Linked DNA regions of Coturnix japonica. The protein of the gene in region 2 interacts with the protein of the main gene of each other region in a biochemical or structural test. Links are inferred from orthologs where the notes say so. Each region holds a gene or a part of one and is shown on either strand. Other genes may lie near its edges.

Region 1 (4,895 bases), on a different chromosome or scaffold from region 2:
TGGTGGTGGGGTCTGGCCCTTGGGGGGATGCTGAGTTAATGGTGAGTGGTGGGATCGCCCCGGGCTGCTCAGCACCACTCAGCCATGGAGGAGAGCTGCTGCCTCCACAACGCCCCATTAATGCTGCGGGCAGGAATGGGGAGGGTGAGAGCAGGGGGAGTGGTGTCCCTTTGGCTCCGCTGGGGGGGGTCTCTGTGTGCCTGCTTGGAGATGTGTGGCCGAGCATCCAGACCTGCAGCCAGGAGCTCCTCTCACCCTCAGATGGGTGCTGAAGTGCCCCCTGCAGGTGCTGCTCTCCTCCATCAGCTGGGGTTGGTGCTGTGATCCCTGTACCAGCAGTGCTGGGGGGTTGTGGGGAACTGCAGCCACAGCTTCTCTGGCAGAAGGGGCCCCTCTGGGCTGACTTGCTCACTCTTCAGGGCTGTGGGTAGAGACGGTGCTGGAGCAGGGACACTGCTGAGCTGTGGAGGCTGTCAGGGATGTTGTGTGATGGAGCAAACAGAGGAGCAGGACGGCCCGTCTGCTGTCTGCTCCGTGGTTCAGCCCAGCTGGGGCAGCCCTGGTATCTCCTTCAACCACCAGCAGCCTGACCACAGGCTGCCTTCCTGGGCAATCTCCATTAGCCATGGCAAGGCAAGAGGGTGATCTGGGGGATAAAATCCTGACCTGAGTATCCCCAGCTCTATGGAAAAGGAGAGCAGAGCTCACATCTCTGTGGGTGTTTGATGCTTCACTCACAGCATTCAGTACTGAGACCCGATGGGGCCGTGCTGGCTGCCTGCCCCAGGAGTGACCGCTGTGGCAGCAGGAACACCGCAGATCCGTGGCTCCTTGCTGGGACGGGATTTCTCCCCCCGCCCTATGGCAGCTCAGCCCAGTGCCTCAGGCTGAGCTTTCTCTGCCCAGCAGGAGAGCCAGACGTGAGCCCAGTGCTCAGCTCCCCGCCCCGTGGCATTGCTCACCTGCACAAAGTTGGGGAAGGACGGGGCAGCAGCAGGAGCCTGTTTGTCATTGTGTCGGTGACGTGCGGCCGCCCGTGGGTGATCCCCGTGTCACAGCCGTGCTGCCACTCGAGCCTGTTTGTTGAGGGCAGGGGGCACGTGGAGCTGTCAGCCCCCGGCTGCCTCCCACCCCCCAGCACAGCATCAGTTGGACACGGTGCAGTTGTGCGCTCTGTGCACTGCATGGTGCTGCATGGCCTGACCCTGCGCCCACGGAGGGGTGAGCACGAGTGGCATCTGGGAGAGAGGTGCTGCATCCAGACCCCTTTCCTTGCAATGTATAAGAAAGGAAGGATTGCTCCACTGCAGGGTGGTGGGAGCACCTTGTGCTGCCTGCTCTGGTGCTCAGCTTGTGGGCACGGAGCTGCCTTGCACCCTGGGTTGGTGCAGGGGGCTGAGCACCCCCAGAGCCCGCCCTGCAGCCCCCTGGGTGAAAGCGGGCCCAGCCTGGGGCTTCTCCAGCCATTCAGGAAAGCCCTTCAGAAACATCCTCCGGTCTTTTGCACAGAGAAGAAGGGGGCAGCAAGGTGTGGTGGCCGCTCCCAGCGCCTGGTGGTGGGTGAGCCTCGGGGGGTGATGGTGGGCAGCGTTTGGGGGCAAAGCATTGGAGGGTGCCCGAGCAAGGGGGGAATGAGCAAGCTGCGGTGTGCGGGCAGGGCAGGGAGGGCTGTGCGGGGCTGCAGGGTGCGTGTGTGCGTGTGTGTGTGTGTGTGTGTGTGTGTATGTGTGTGTGTGCGTGTGTGTGTGTGTGTGTGTGTGTGTGTGTGTGTGTGTGTGTATGTGTGTGTGTGTGTATGTGTGTGTGTGTGTGTGCGTGTGCCGGTGCGGGAGGGCCGCGCAGGAGCGCTGTGTGTGCGCTGTCACTCAGAGGCCGGCTGACAGGAGCTGCCTTTCCAGCGGCGGCAGATAGCGCTGATTGCTGATTCGAGGAAACAAAATAGCAATTGTAATTATGGGCTCTGATAAGATAAAGGAGGGCGCGGGGAGCGCGGGGACCGGCAGCGGGGCACGGCCGGCAAATTAGCGGCTGTCACTCAGCGCGGAGCAGGCGGCCCCGGCCAGGTACCGGCCCCGGGGTCCCGCCCGTCAGCCGCAGCCCCGCCGCAGCCCCCGCCCCGGTGCGCAACAGGTGGCGGGGCCGGGAGCAACGGGGCTCGCCGAACAATGCAGCCCTCGGCGGCCCTACCCGGGCTGCGGGGCTGAGCCCCGACCCGCCGCGGCCCCATGGCCCCGCGCAGCCGGTGCTGACGGACGGCCGCCCCTCCAGGTAAGAGCCCGGCGGGGACGTCCGGGGAAGGGAAGGGAAGAGGGGGGGGTCCCGCCGCCCAGTACCCCCGGCTGCGCTGTTTGCTCAGCCTCTCGAAACTCCTGCCCACCCCTCCGCCCCGGTAATCCTTTTAATGTCTGGCACGTCCAGCGAGAGGGCTCGGCCCCAATCCACAACGCGGACCCGTAAGCCACGTTTTACAGATGGGGAAACTGAGGCACGGCGCGGGGACGGCATCCCTCCGCCGGCCGAGCCCGTAGTGCCGCCACCCCCGAGCGGCCGCTGCCGGAGGTTCCCTTGCTCCGCCGGGGCCGCCCCCCGGGCTCTCCGCCCCCGCCGCCTCCCGGGCCGGCAGCGGAGCGGAGCGGGGCGGGGGGCTCCCCGCGGCGGGGGGCTGCCGGCCGCGCTCCCCCGGGGGCTGGGCGGGCGGGCCGGCGGGGGCCTTTCCCCTTCTGTAGCCGCTTGTGCCCTCCTTTCCTCGGGGCGAGGCAGGGCGAGAGGAGTCGAGGAGCCGAGCAGAGCCGCGCCCCCACCCCACCGCCGGGCTCCGGGCTGCCGGCCCCGCAGCGCTCCGCTATGGACCCCTGCTCTTCGCTCTTCAGCTACGTGTGAGTACCGCAGCCCTCCCTCCGCCTGCCCCCAGCCCTCCCTCCTTTCCTCCCCGCAGCCCCCCGGCTCACATCTCTCTCCCGTTTTCTGTCCACCCCCCCCTCCAGGTTCATGCACTTGTTCGTCCTCTGCCTGCAAGCCCAGGTAAGCTCCCGCTCCGCCGCCGGCTTTGTTCGCCCCTCGGGGCTGGGGGTCGGGACGGGGGGTTGGCTTAAAGTCCCTCAGACGACGCGAGCCCCGCTGGAAAGAGCCGGGAGCGGGCGGCTGCGCACCGGCTGCGGGATGGGGTGCGGGGGTGGGAGGACCCCTCGCCCACCCTGGTTGCAGGGGCTTCGGCCGTTCGGTCCTCCCGTTCTTCTTCAAATCGCACTACGGATCGGCCCTTCCTCTCGTGTGGGGGTGTTTTTTCATCTGAAAAGTAAAGTAGAATCGAGATAAAAGCGTCGGGGTGGAGGAAGAAAAAAGGGGAGAATAAAGGAAAAGGTGGGGGGGAGGAGAGGAAGAAAAGAGAAAAGGGAAGGAAAAGGGGAAGGAGGGAAAGAAAGTCCATTTCCTTACTAAAAAGCGTAGATTTCAGTCCAGCTGAACGTTGCTGCTGCTGGTTGGCATCGCCGGGGCCAGGAGTGTCAGCAGGAGATGGGGCTGCGGCTGTGTGTGCAAAGCGGGGTGAAACCCCCTCCCCCGAGGCCACAGGTGCAGAAGCGTTTTGAAAACGCTCCTTAAGCCGCTTTTTATTATTATTATTGTTATGATTATTTCATTGGAAGCTCAGGAGGAAAAAAAAAAAAAAATGGAGTTTCCAGCCCCAAAGCAAAAAGGAGTGTGCGGTTGTATAAAACATAGCTGTAATATTTTGGAGGACGAGACGGAGCGGCACGGCTAATGACCTCTCCTCCACATGGTACCCTCATCAGGGCCGGGAGAGTCCGTGCGTTATCCGCAGGCGGCTGAAGGAAAGGCGCGGAGGCAGAGGGGTGGCACTGGAGAGGGGAAATGTCGGTGTAGGGGCGGCTGCGGGAGAGCGGCGGCTCCGGCTTTTATTGGGGTCTGCTGGTGGTGGGGAATCTTCCCGTTTGACGTGGGGGTAGCGGGGGGGTCCCGGCCTGCTGGTGTTGAAAGGATCGACCCGCTAACATTTGCTCAGAATACGTCTTTATAAATGTCAGTGAGCAGCGAAACTTTCCGGACTTAAAAGAGGGGATGGAGACGAGAAGGGAAAGGAGCCCTGTGCTGGGGATGGGGGAAGCGGATCGGGCTGAATTGCTTGTGTCTGGGGAGCAGAGGGTCTGGAGGAGTTGGGTCGGCTGCTGCTATGGGGCCGGGGGTCAGCACTGGGATGGGGATGGCACCGGGATGGGGGTGAAGGTGAAGGATGGCTCACACGTCGGTAACGGTACTCCTTGGGGTTTGTGTTATAGATACCCCGTGAGGGGAGTGGAGTCTTGATGGCTCATAGCTCTACCTCATCTGTGGGTTTGGGGCATGAAGAGCAGGGTGTTTTGGGGAAAGGGGGTCCTGGAAGCTGCATACCCCATCTCAGGTACCTCCATATGAGCTGGGACCCACTGAGTCCTAGTGGACACTGGGAGTCCCTGAGCTCCTTCATGTCCCCAAGACACCCACACTCATCTGGGGGATCCCGGTCCCCAAAGGGCTCAGCTCCCCCCCGTCCCACTGACTCTGCTCCTCCTCTGCAGGCGCTGGTGATCCTTGCTCAGCCCGTTCTCCCCTCTGAGGAGTAGAGATTATAATGGTGTGTCGTATATTTTTTAATTTCCTAAAGGTAACTGTTCAGTCCCCACCTAATTTTACACAGCATGTGAGGGAGCAGAGCCTGGTGACAGATCAGCTCAGCCGGCGGCTCGTGCGCACCTACCAGCTGTACAGCCGGACCAGCGGGAAGCACGTGCAGATCTTGGACAACAAGAAAATCAATGCGATGGCAGAGGACGGGGATGTGCACGGTAAGGAAGGACGCGGCCGGGGGGGCTAAGGGGGGGGCTGGGAGGTGTCCTCAG
Region 2 (4,405 bases):
GGGGGTGGCCATGAGCCCTGGGCCTGGGGACACAGCTGGGGATGGCCATGTGCCCCATATGGTTGAGGGTGGCTGTGTGCCTTAGGGCTGAGGGTGGCCATGAGCCCTGGGCATGGGGACACAGCTGGGGATGGCCATGTGCCCTGGAAGCTTGGCATGGATGGGGATGTTCACACACCCCAGGCTTTGCAGAGGGGCTGAGGGCACTGCTTGTGCCTGGACTGAGCAACCTGCCCCATGTTTGCCCCCAGCACCCACCCAGCCCATGGCGTACACCTTCAGGGATCCAAAGGACGAGTGCACCGCTGCCTGCTGCCCCCTGCCTCTCACCCAGCTCCTCCAGGACAGCCCAGAGCAGAGCAGGTAGGGCTGGTGGGGCTCCAGATGCCTCGATGCCACCTTACATGTCCCCAGCTGTGCCCAGGGAGAGCACTGACCCCATAGAGACCCGGGCTGAGGCAGCCCGGTGTGTGTGCAGCGTTACCTTTAGGATCTGCACGTAGGGCAAGTTGTCGGGGCCGATCTTGCTGCCGTTCACCTCGATGTGTTTCAGCCATTGGATGTGGGGCTGTGGGTCACTGTAGACCTTGCAGACGAACTCCACGTTGCTGCCCAGGGCCACTGTTTTGTTGGCTGGGAGCCCTGCCTGCAGGATGGGCCGGTGCGGGGAGCGCTCTGCAGGGATGGAGGGATGGGGACCTCAGCACGAGCAACCCACATCCACAGGGGTCTCATCCCAAAGGGGTCTCATCCCACAGCCCCACAGAGCCAGGTGACATCCCAGCACAGGGACATTGCTATCTATTCAAGGGCCAGAGGTCAAACAAACCTAATGAGGGCCCCAGCCGCTGCCACTGTGGTGAGTCAGCATTAACAAACCCCTTTGTTCACCTCGCTGACTGTTCCCTTCAGTTTGCTCAGTGTAATCAAATTAAATCACATTCTTAATGGTTCATTTACTGGCATTTAGAGCAACTCCACATGTGGAACTGCTCAGACCAGCCTTCCCAGCTGGGAATTATGGCTAATAAGGCGATTAGAAAAAGTTTCTGTCTGGTCTATGAAATTACTTCCATCACAATTAAAAAGCCCCAGAAGGGTTCGAGGTGAACCTCGTGGGCGCAGCACCCACTGCTGTGTGGGAGGCAGAGCAGCCCCAGCACCATCCTCACCCACAACATCCAGCTGGTAGGTGTGGTTGATGCTCCCATATTTGTTCTCCACGATGCACGTGTAGTTGCCCTTATCTGATGGCACCACCGAGTCCATGATGATGCTCCACGTGGCATAGCGGACCTGGGGCAAAAGGATGGGGGTGGTGGGTGAGATGTGTGCACATCAGAGCATCTCAGCCCATTGGCACAGCATAAATCTTTTCATGGTCAACTTTCCCCTCTCCTACAGAGGGACCATAATTGCTCCCACCTGTCCCAGGAGCACCACCCTGAGTGGCACAAAGGGAACAGCACCCACATCCATGTTCTGATGGCACGCTGGCAATGCCCAAAGCCTTGAGCTTCCATCCCATTCTCCACCAGGGCTCTGCACACAGATGGGGAGCACCAGCACCCTGCTGCCCTGGGGGGCACATTGAGCCCAAACACTCCAGGCTGCACCAAGGCTCTGTAAGCAGAGCAGCTCTTCTTCATCCTCCTTCTCCCACAGTGCAGTGCTGGATGTGGGAGTTGTGCGGTGCTCCCAGGGCTGCCCCGACCATCCTGGCTCAGCTCTGGGATTAGTGCAGCCAGGCTGGGCTCATCCCCCTCCCCTCCCCCAAAGGTTAAGGCTGCTGCAAACATGACCAAGAAGCAGGTCACTGCCGTGGGTCTATTTTGCAACAGGAATGTCAGGGGGCCCATCTGCCCTTCCAGAGGCACGCGGCTGCACCAATGGGCGGCTCGGGGCCTCTGAAACCCATTCATTTCCCCTCCTCCCACATTGACCCCCAGGCATTGACCACACGGATTGACCACTCTGTACCTTGTACCCCCCAATGCGGTGGTCAGGTTTGAACTCCTTGCCATTCTTCAGCCAGCGCAGTGTGGGGTTGGGCGTCCCACCTGAGGGGCACTTGAATTTCACTGTTTTGGCAGCAGGGACGGCATGCAGCTTCTTCTCCATCTTCTCGGGATAGGTCCAGTAAGGAGCTACAGCCTCTGCAGGGCACAAAGCAGCAGGATCAGCCACAGGGAGCACTGATGTTTGCTCATGGTTAACATAGGGCAGGACTGGGGTGAGGCGCACATATCCCTGGTACATCCCCACACCCCAACCAGGCTCCACCAGGGCTGCAGCAGGACTCTGCCTCTCCTCTCCTGTCTCTCAGCCCCTGGATGCCGCTCACATGCACACCTGGCTTCCCTTCACCCCCACCCATAGGCAAACCCAACCCACACGTACGGTTTGGCTTGGTGTTATCTGCCTCCTTCTCCTCCGAGGAGGAATCGTCTTCATCATCATCATCCTCTGCAGAAGGGAGCGCATCTACAAGAGAAGAGACCCCCAGCTCATAACATTGCACAGACCCCTCCTGTTCTCCTGTGCACCGTGCTGACACATGGCATGAGGCCCTGAGAGAACACTGCATGGCTGGAGCACAGAGCTCAGGGAGCAGTTTGCCCCCAAGGCTGACTTTGGGCACAGGAAAGCAGTGCCCACACTGTGCTGCCAGGCACATCGGGACACCCATCCATCCGGGGTCCTGCAAACAGAGGAAGCCCCGACCCTCAGTCAGCCCTCATTCCTCACCACTGTGCTTCAGATCCACCAAAGAAAACCTCAGCTCCAGCTCACCCGGTGCTCAGTTCCATGCAGACTCACATGTCCCCACACATGCATTGCCACCGTGGAAGAACACTCATGGACTCAATGGGTGCAGAGGGTGCTGGCCACCAACTGTGCAGCTCTGAGCAGAAAACCCAGCAATGCTGACCCCGCTGCAGTGCTTTGTGTTGATACATCCCCACGCTGAGCCATTAGGGCACAACCACCCCATATTGCACAAAGTTGGTGGCGCATCCCATGCGTGCAGGGCTGCACCCCACTGAGCTTGGCAGCCAGCATGCAAGGCGTGCACACAGGCACACTGCTCCTCGGTGCTGCCCCCCTGGCACCGCTACGAACCTGAGACGTTGACGGAGAAGTAGGTGGTCTCACTCCCTGAGGGGCTGTTGGTCATGCAGGCATAGAGCCCTGAGTCCTCGGGCACCGCATCCCGCACCTCTACCTCCTCTCCAGTGATGCGCGTGCGGTTGTTCTCAGGCAGCTGAACTCCATCACGCACCCAGTTGATGCTCTGCACGTCATCGCGCAGCCGGCAGCGCAGCTGGAGGAGGTCGCCAGGGTGAGCAGAGTGGGATTCCACCTCGATGTTGGCTTTGGGCAGAGCTGGAGGAGTTTGGGAGAGAGGAAGAAAAGGAGAAAAAAAAGAAAAGAAATAGAGACAACGGGACACCAGGCTGCTGAGGGCTGGGTTAATCAGGCAACATGCGCTGCGGGATATTGGCTGAGGGACAGGGGTGGACCCTGAGCACAGCCACACTGAAAGCAACCAAAGCAGCCCCAAGGCACAGCCGTGGAGCCCAAAGCTACGCAAGCGCCTTCAGTCTCCTGCCAAGCGCTGCAGAAGGGGGTTGAGATGGGGAGGAATTTGCAACCTGAGGCACACTGGGCAGAGCTGGCAGCAGGGCAGGATGAGGAGCACCAAACCCTGCACGGCTCGACCCCAGGGTCTCCCTGCCCAGCAGCAGACAGCCAGCAAAGCAGGCCGGGACCCCCTGGCTCAGCACCAGGCGGTTACAGGGCTATGCTGGGGCAGCAGGCAGAGAGCAGGGCTCAGTGACAGTGCTGGAAGCTCAGCCTGGGGGCTGCAGACAGGTGGGGGCTGTCGGGTGCTCCCTGCCCGTAGCCATCCTGCGACGTCCTTCCATCAGCACAATGATCCAATCCATCCCAGCACTGTTCTCTCCTGGTCATCGATGTTGTTTTCTCCTCACCCTGCGGTGCTGCATGAGGATCCTGCACTGGGTGCAACCATCTGGGTTCCCAGCAATCCCTCCCAGTGCTCACACTCAGCCTGGTGCACTGTCTGCCCTCCTTCCTGTGTCAGCTCTGCTCGCACACCTCTGCTGCTATCTCCATAGGGTGTGTTCTTCCTGCTCCTCACTGGGCAGCCCTGCATGGGCTGAGCCTCCTCTGCTCATTCCATCTCATCATGTTGACTTTCCAGGTGGAGATCCCAAAGCAAATCCTCAGGGCCTGCTCCCTGCATGTGTCACCTCCAGGGCCTTTCCAGCTGCAATCCGGTGCTTCCCAGGGACTTCACATCATCCAGTGAAGGCATTCCAGCCCCAACCATGCACACATCCATCAGCTGTGCTCAGAGCGGAGTGATGGAGAGCCAGTG
Region 3 (4,911 bases), on a different chromosome or scaffold from region 2:
CTCTTCTGCTTTTTAAAAAAACAGGGTTTCAATTTCATGAATTTAAACTTAATGAAGTAATTATCTAAGAAGAATGGCATCATTAAGACAAAGCAGCAGCATCTAAGTACATGCACAACAAAGAATACGGAATAGTCATACGATTAAAAAATGCAGCAACGCTGATGTGCATGGGCAGCCTCTAAAGACCAGGAACAAACTGCTCACTGTCACTCCTGTCCCTATCAACATAGTGACCAAGAAGGAGCCCCACATGTCCTCTACCCCAGAGCAATGCTGTGCTTTCTGGCTTCTTAAAGGGATATTTAGAACCAAAAATGTTATTACTGCTTTCAAGCTTCTACTGATTCTTTAACAGTTTTCTGCCTCGGTCTTTTCCTTATTGTTTTCTTCTTTCTTTCCTTCTTCCTTCTTTCCTTTCTTTCTTTCTTTGATCCTTTTCTTTTCTTTACTTTTCTTTACTTTTCTTCTTTTCTGTTGTTGTTTTTGCTGTTGCATTCTCTTTCATTTTTCATTTTGTAAACCTCCCATGCAACAACTATTTTGGCTGTTAATGAAGGGAATTTTTCTGCATCCAGCAAACAGTAAACCATGTCGCTTGGTTACAGCAAAAGCTGAAATTCCACAGATTTCCACAAAGTCATACATTGTGTTGGGAGAGGAAAGTGTGCTGGGCATTCTCTGACTTTTGTGTCCTGTGTTAGCATTTGTAAGCACTTATAAAAGAGGAGAGGAGAGGAGAGGAGAGGAGAGGAGAGGAGAGAGGAGAGGAGAGGAGGAGAGGAAGGAGGGGAGAGGGAGAGGAGAGGAGAGGAGAGAGAGAGGAGAGGAGAGAGAGGAGGGAGGGGAGAGGAAGAGAGAGAAAAGAAGAGGGAGAGAAGAGAAGAGAAGAGAAGAGAGAGAAGAAAGAGAAGAGAGAGCAGAAGAGAAAGGAGGAGGAATACAGAGAAGAAAGAGGAGTGAGAGAGAAGGACAGGTGATAAAAATAGCAAAATAGAAGAAATAAAGGAAGAAAGAAAAAGGAAAGGGAAGGAGAGGGAAAAAAGAAGAAAAAAAGAACAAAAAGAAAAAAAAAGAAGAAAGAAGAAGACAAAGAAGAAGAAGAAAAAGAAAGAGTACAAAAGAAAAGAAAAGAGAAAGGAAAGGAAGGAGAAAGGGAAAGAGGAAAGGAAAGGGAAATAAAGGGAAAGAGAAACATAAAAGGGAAGGAAAAACAACTTTGTGATTAATGCAGAATATGACCTTTTCTTTTAAAAAGTTTGTTTGCTGTCCCTCTTGTTTAGTGCCAGTGCTTGCTCAACCCTTTCCCACTGAAGCGCTTCGGAGTGTTAAGATCTAGGGGTGATAATTTGACTTTGAGCTAAAAACCGAGGGCCTGCACAGTAGGTGGTGATGTAATAGGTACCAACGCACATGGATATATAAATATCGTGGCTAGGGCTAAAGCGCTATGGCTGAGCAGCTATAGAAGATCAGCACTTCAGACAAGACTCCTGGAGTTGAGATCAAGTTCAGAAGCTCTTGCTCCTGGGATTTCCTCTTCATGCAGCCTGCCCAGGGAAACTGCCGATCCTCAGGGGACTGAGCGCGGGGCTGCCTCCTTCCTCCCGGCTCGCTTTTTCTTTTTTTATTTTTTTTCTTTCTCTTTTTTCTTTTTTTCTTTCTTTCTTTTTTTTTTTTTTCTTTTTTCCGTGTGTGTGTTTTGTTTTGTTTTGATTTTTCTCCCCTCCGCTTTGACCTCACTATAAAGCGGGAGCTGGGGGCCGAGCGCCTTTTCGGAGCGACCGGCCGCCGGCCCGTGGCTGAGCGCCGCTAGCCGGGATGCCTCTCCCCGCGGCGCTGCTGCCGGCGCTGCTCCTGGGGCTGCTGTGGCCGGGGGCGGTGCGCGGCCGGCCGCCCCCGGGCCGCCTCCCCGCCGGGCCCCGCCAGCGGCGCTGGGACGCGGCTCTCTTCGCCCGCTCCGTGGCGCGTCTCCCGGCCGAGCGCCGCGATGCCGCCCGCGACGGCGACTACCTCCTGGGCATCAAGCGGCTGCGGCGTCTCTATTGCAACGTGGGCATCGGTTTCCACATCCAGGTCCTGCCCGACGGCCGCATCGATGGGATCCACAGCGAAAACCGATACAGTAAGCCGGCACCGACCCCCGCAGCCGGGCTGGTGAGCAGCTCCGCACCCGCGGAACCGCTTCTCTGACGGTTCTGCTGGTGCGGAGCGGCTCACCTCACCTAACTGCGGTGTGAGTTAAAGGGAGGGTGGGCTTGGGGCAGACCTCCAAACGCCTAGAGAAGTCCGTCCGCACCGGCTGCCCCGAGGGCGTCCTGCGCCCGAGAGAACGGGACGGCGGCGGAGCTCATAGAGCGCTCCATGCGGCCGCCCCGCGGGTCGCGCTGTCCCCTCGCAGCCAGCAGGCATCAGGTGTAGGGGCAGCCTCAACATCTGGAGGGTCCTCGGGCCCGCGGGCCGCCCAACTTGAGTAGGGGCTGGGAAGAACTCAGCCAGGGCCCAGCTCTCCCTCAGACTTGAAAAGCATCTGCTAGAGTCTTAACCCCATGGCCCCGTGACTCTGATATCCAACTGAAACAATAAGATCCAAGGGGGGGGATATAAGCTGCATGATGACAAATGTTTCGGACACCCCAAGCACACTCTAGCTTATTTTAACCTTAGCTACAGAGGAGGATGCCTGGGGGCAATGTAAAAATAGATACTTAGCTAAAAGAAGAGAGGTCCCAGCATGGTGCATGGGGCAGCACGTGAGGCACAAGGCTGGGGTTCTGTGGCCACCCACAGAAGTGCTGGGGCACAGGGATCCATGCCACACTGGGGATGGGAATCTTTGAACGAGTGCAGAACTGATATCACACAATCCCTCAGGGCACAACCCTTTGTCCCCCTGATTCCTGTGTCTCTTCTGTAGGTCTGCTGGAAATCTCCCCTGTGGAAAGAGGAGTGGTGAGCATATTTGGTGTTAGAAGTGGACTCTTCGTGGCCATGAATAGCAAAGGCAAACTCTATGGATCTGTAAGTAGCCACCAGTTGTGTGCCTGGGGAGGGGACCGTGGTGGCCTGGAATGAGAGATGTACATGGTGCTGGAAGCCAGGGCCCCACAAATGATCCTTTGTGGTGTGATTAATCAGTGCCTGTCACATACCTATTGATCACTCCTTGTGATACTCTTGATTGGAGAGCTCCCATGAGAGTTCAGCATCTTCAGGGTGCAGGTTCTTAGTTATAGGAAGGCAGATCTATTAAGATACAATGCAAAGCTTCTATTACATTTAATCTGTTGAAAAAATAGTGGCATGTTTTAAAACACATTGGATGGACGGTAACAGTGCACATCTTAACCCATGTTGAGCTGTCCTTCTGCTTTTGAGTTCACCTATATGTAAGCTAAAGCATAATTTCAATCCTGTGTTCTTGAATTTCCTTCCCTACCCATGGATTTTGTATTTCATGTCTCTGAGGAATGTTTTGAAAAAAGGGCCAAATTATGTCAAAGTTGACTAGGGCATATTCACATGCATAAAGACTTGAATTATCCAGAGCTATTTTCTGTGGCATCCGTCCTGTCACAGAGGATTTTGACTTACATGAAAGCCAGGAATGACTAGTCATCAAAGTGCAAGAGCTCCCTTTGTGCCAAGCCTAAAGGAGACAATATGATGCTTTGGTGTCTTGGATAAAGCAATTTTCAATGCAGCGTTCAGCCTGGCAAGCTGAGACCTATCTTACAAAACTATCAACTTCTGCCCACTAACAAGAGATGACTTCATTTGTTACTGCCTGTATGACACACCTGTAACACCTGTCCCTCTTTGTACTTGCATGTGAAAGCCCTTTACTAGAAACATGCCTTCTGTCAGCTCTGTCTTCCTGATCCATTAACACAGATAAATCTAAACCCTTCCTTCAGTTTTAAAACTGAAGGTGCAGAAAATACTGTCCATGCTGAGCATCTTTAAAATACCCCTTTCCCTTCAAACAAAATGAGAAAGTGCTAACATTCAGATTTTTTTTCTGAAGCCTATCAGGGAATTCATTGCTAGGACAACCACTGGTTTGGGAACCAAGTAAATTTACTGGTATGCAGACTCAGAAATATCTGTGGGCCCTTGCATTCTGACATGGGGACATGAGCACCGGTTACAACTCATAACTGTCATTACTCATGTCTGACAGCTTCTTTTCCCCTTCTTTTTCATGAGGAAAACTCATCCGCCAACCTAGAGGATGAGCAGGGCAGCAGAACAGCACCTGGGTCATTCCTGAATGCAGTGCCCTCTGTTAAAATGGACCTCTTTCTCTCAAGAGCACAGGCAGAGTTACAGGGTGTCCTTCCATCCTCCACGTGTCTGTGCCTGGCTGGGAAGCAGCACCCTTAGTAATTCTCTGAGTGTCATTTGAAGCTTCCTTTGGACAACCACTTCAAAAGATTACTAAGGGAAGGGGGGGATGTCAGCTGCACCGTTTACTGCAGCACACCTACTACACCTGGTAGCAAGAATATTTCTGCACCTGATGTTTAAAATTCCTTCCCTCTCATTCTTTCCTTTTCATTTCAGACCCATTTCAATGACGAGTGCAAATTCAAAGAGATCCTCCTGCCAAACAACTACAATGCTTACGAATCCAGGATTTATCCCGGGATGTACATAGCCCTGAGCAAAAACGGAAGAACAAAGAAAGGCAATAAAGTATCTCCCACAATGACGGTGACACATTTTCTTCCTAGAATCTGAGACATCTCCCTTCCGACCTACCTCAGCACAGGGGAAGACTCAGAACACATCTGGGAAAAGAGAAACGTGGTGCACTTTTACTGGAGAGTTTTATGCAAGAGTAGGTGTAAGATATTTAAATTAATTATTTAAATCTGTATATATTGCCACTAAACTTATTTATAGTTC

What was found.
Region 1: the proteins of FGFR1 (region 2) and FGF8 interact in a biophysical measurement, tested with the Homo sapiens proteins (2 studies listed by BioGRID and IntAct, with this or other methods). The link is inferred for Coturnix japonica from reciprocal best matches to the Homo sapiens genes FGFR1 and FGF8.
Region 3: the proteins of FGFR1 (region 2) and FGF4 form a complex in vitro, tested with the Homo sapiens proteins (2 studies listed by BioGRID and IntAct, with this or other methods). The link is inferred for Coturnix japonica from reciprocal best matches to the Homo sapiens genes FGFR1 and FGF4.

What each region holds. Positions count from the first base shown.
Region 1 is NC_029521.1:19,853,492-19,858,386, forward strand, and holds the start of FGF8 (fibroblast growth factor 8), read left to right. Parts: upstream 1-1,805; 5' UTR 1,806-2,268; intron 2,269-2,760; 5' UTR 2,761-2,844; coding exon 2,845-2,876; intron 2,877-2,984; coding exon 2,985-3,021; intron 3,022-4,660; coding exon 4,661-4,841; intron 4,842-4,895. UniProt on the Homo sapiens protein: Plays an important role in the regulation of embryonic development, cell proliferation, cell differentiation and cell migration. Required for normal brain, eye, ear and limb development during embryogenesis.
Region 2 is NC_029537.1:3,713,351-3,717,755, forward strand, and holds part of FGFR1 (fibroblast growth factor receptor 1), read right to left. Parts: intron 3,388-4,405; coding exon 3,124-3,387; intron 2,485-3,123; coding exon 2,401-2,484; intron 2,157-2,400; coding exon 1,981-2,156; intron 1,297-1,980; coding exon 1,173-1,296; intron 676-1,172; coding exon 485-675; intron 1-484. UniProt on the Homo sapiens protein: Tyrosine-protein kinase that acts as a cell-surface receptor for fibroblast growth factors and plays an essential role in the regulation of embryonic development, cell proliferation, differentiation and migration.
Region 3 is NC_029520.1:7,212,810-7,217,720, forward strand, and holds FGF4 (fibroblast growth factor 4), read left to right. Parts: upstream 1-1,821; coding exon 1,822-2,125; intron 2,126-2,917; coding exon 2,918-3,021; intron 3,022-3,152; exon of another isoform or gene 3,153-3,246; intron 3,247-4,566; coding exon 4,567-4,743; 3' UTR 4,744-4,844; downstream 4,845-4,911. UniProt on the Homo sapiens protein: Plays an important role in the regulation of embryonic development, cell proliferation, and cell differentiation. Required for normal limb and cardiac valve development during embryogenesis.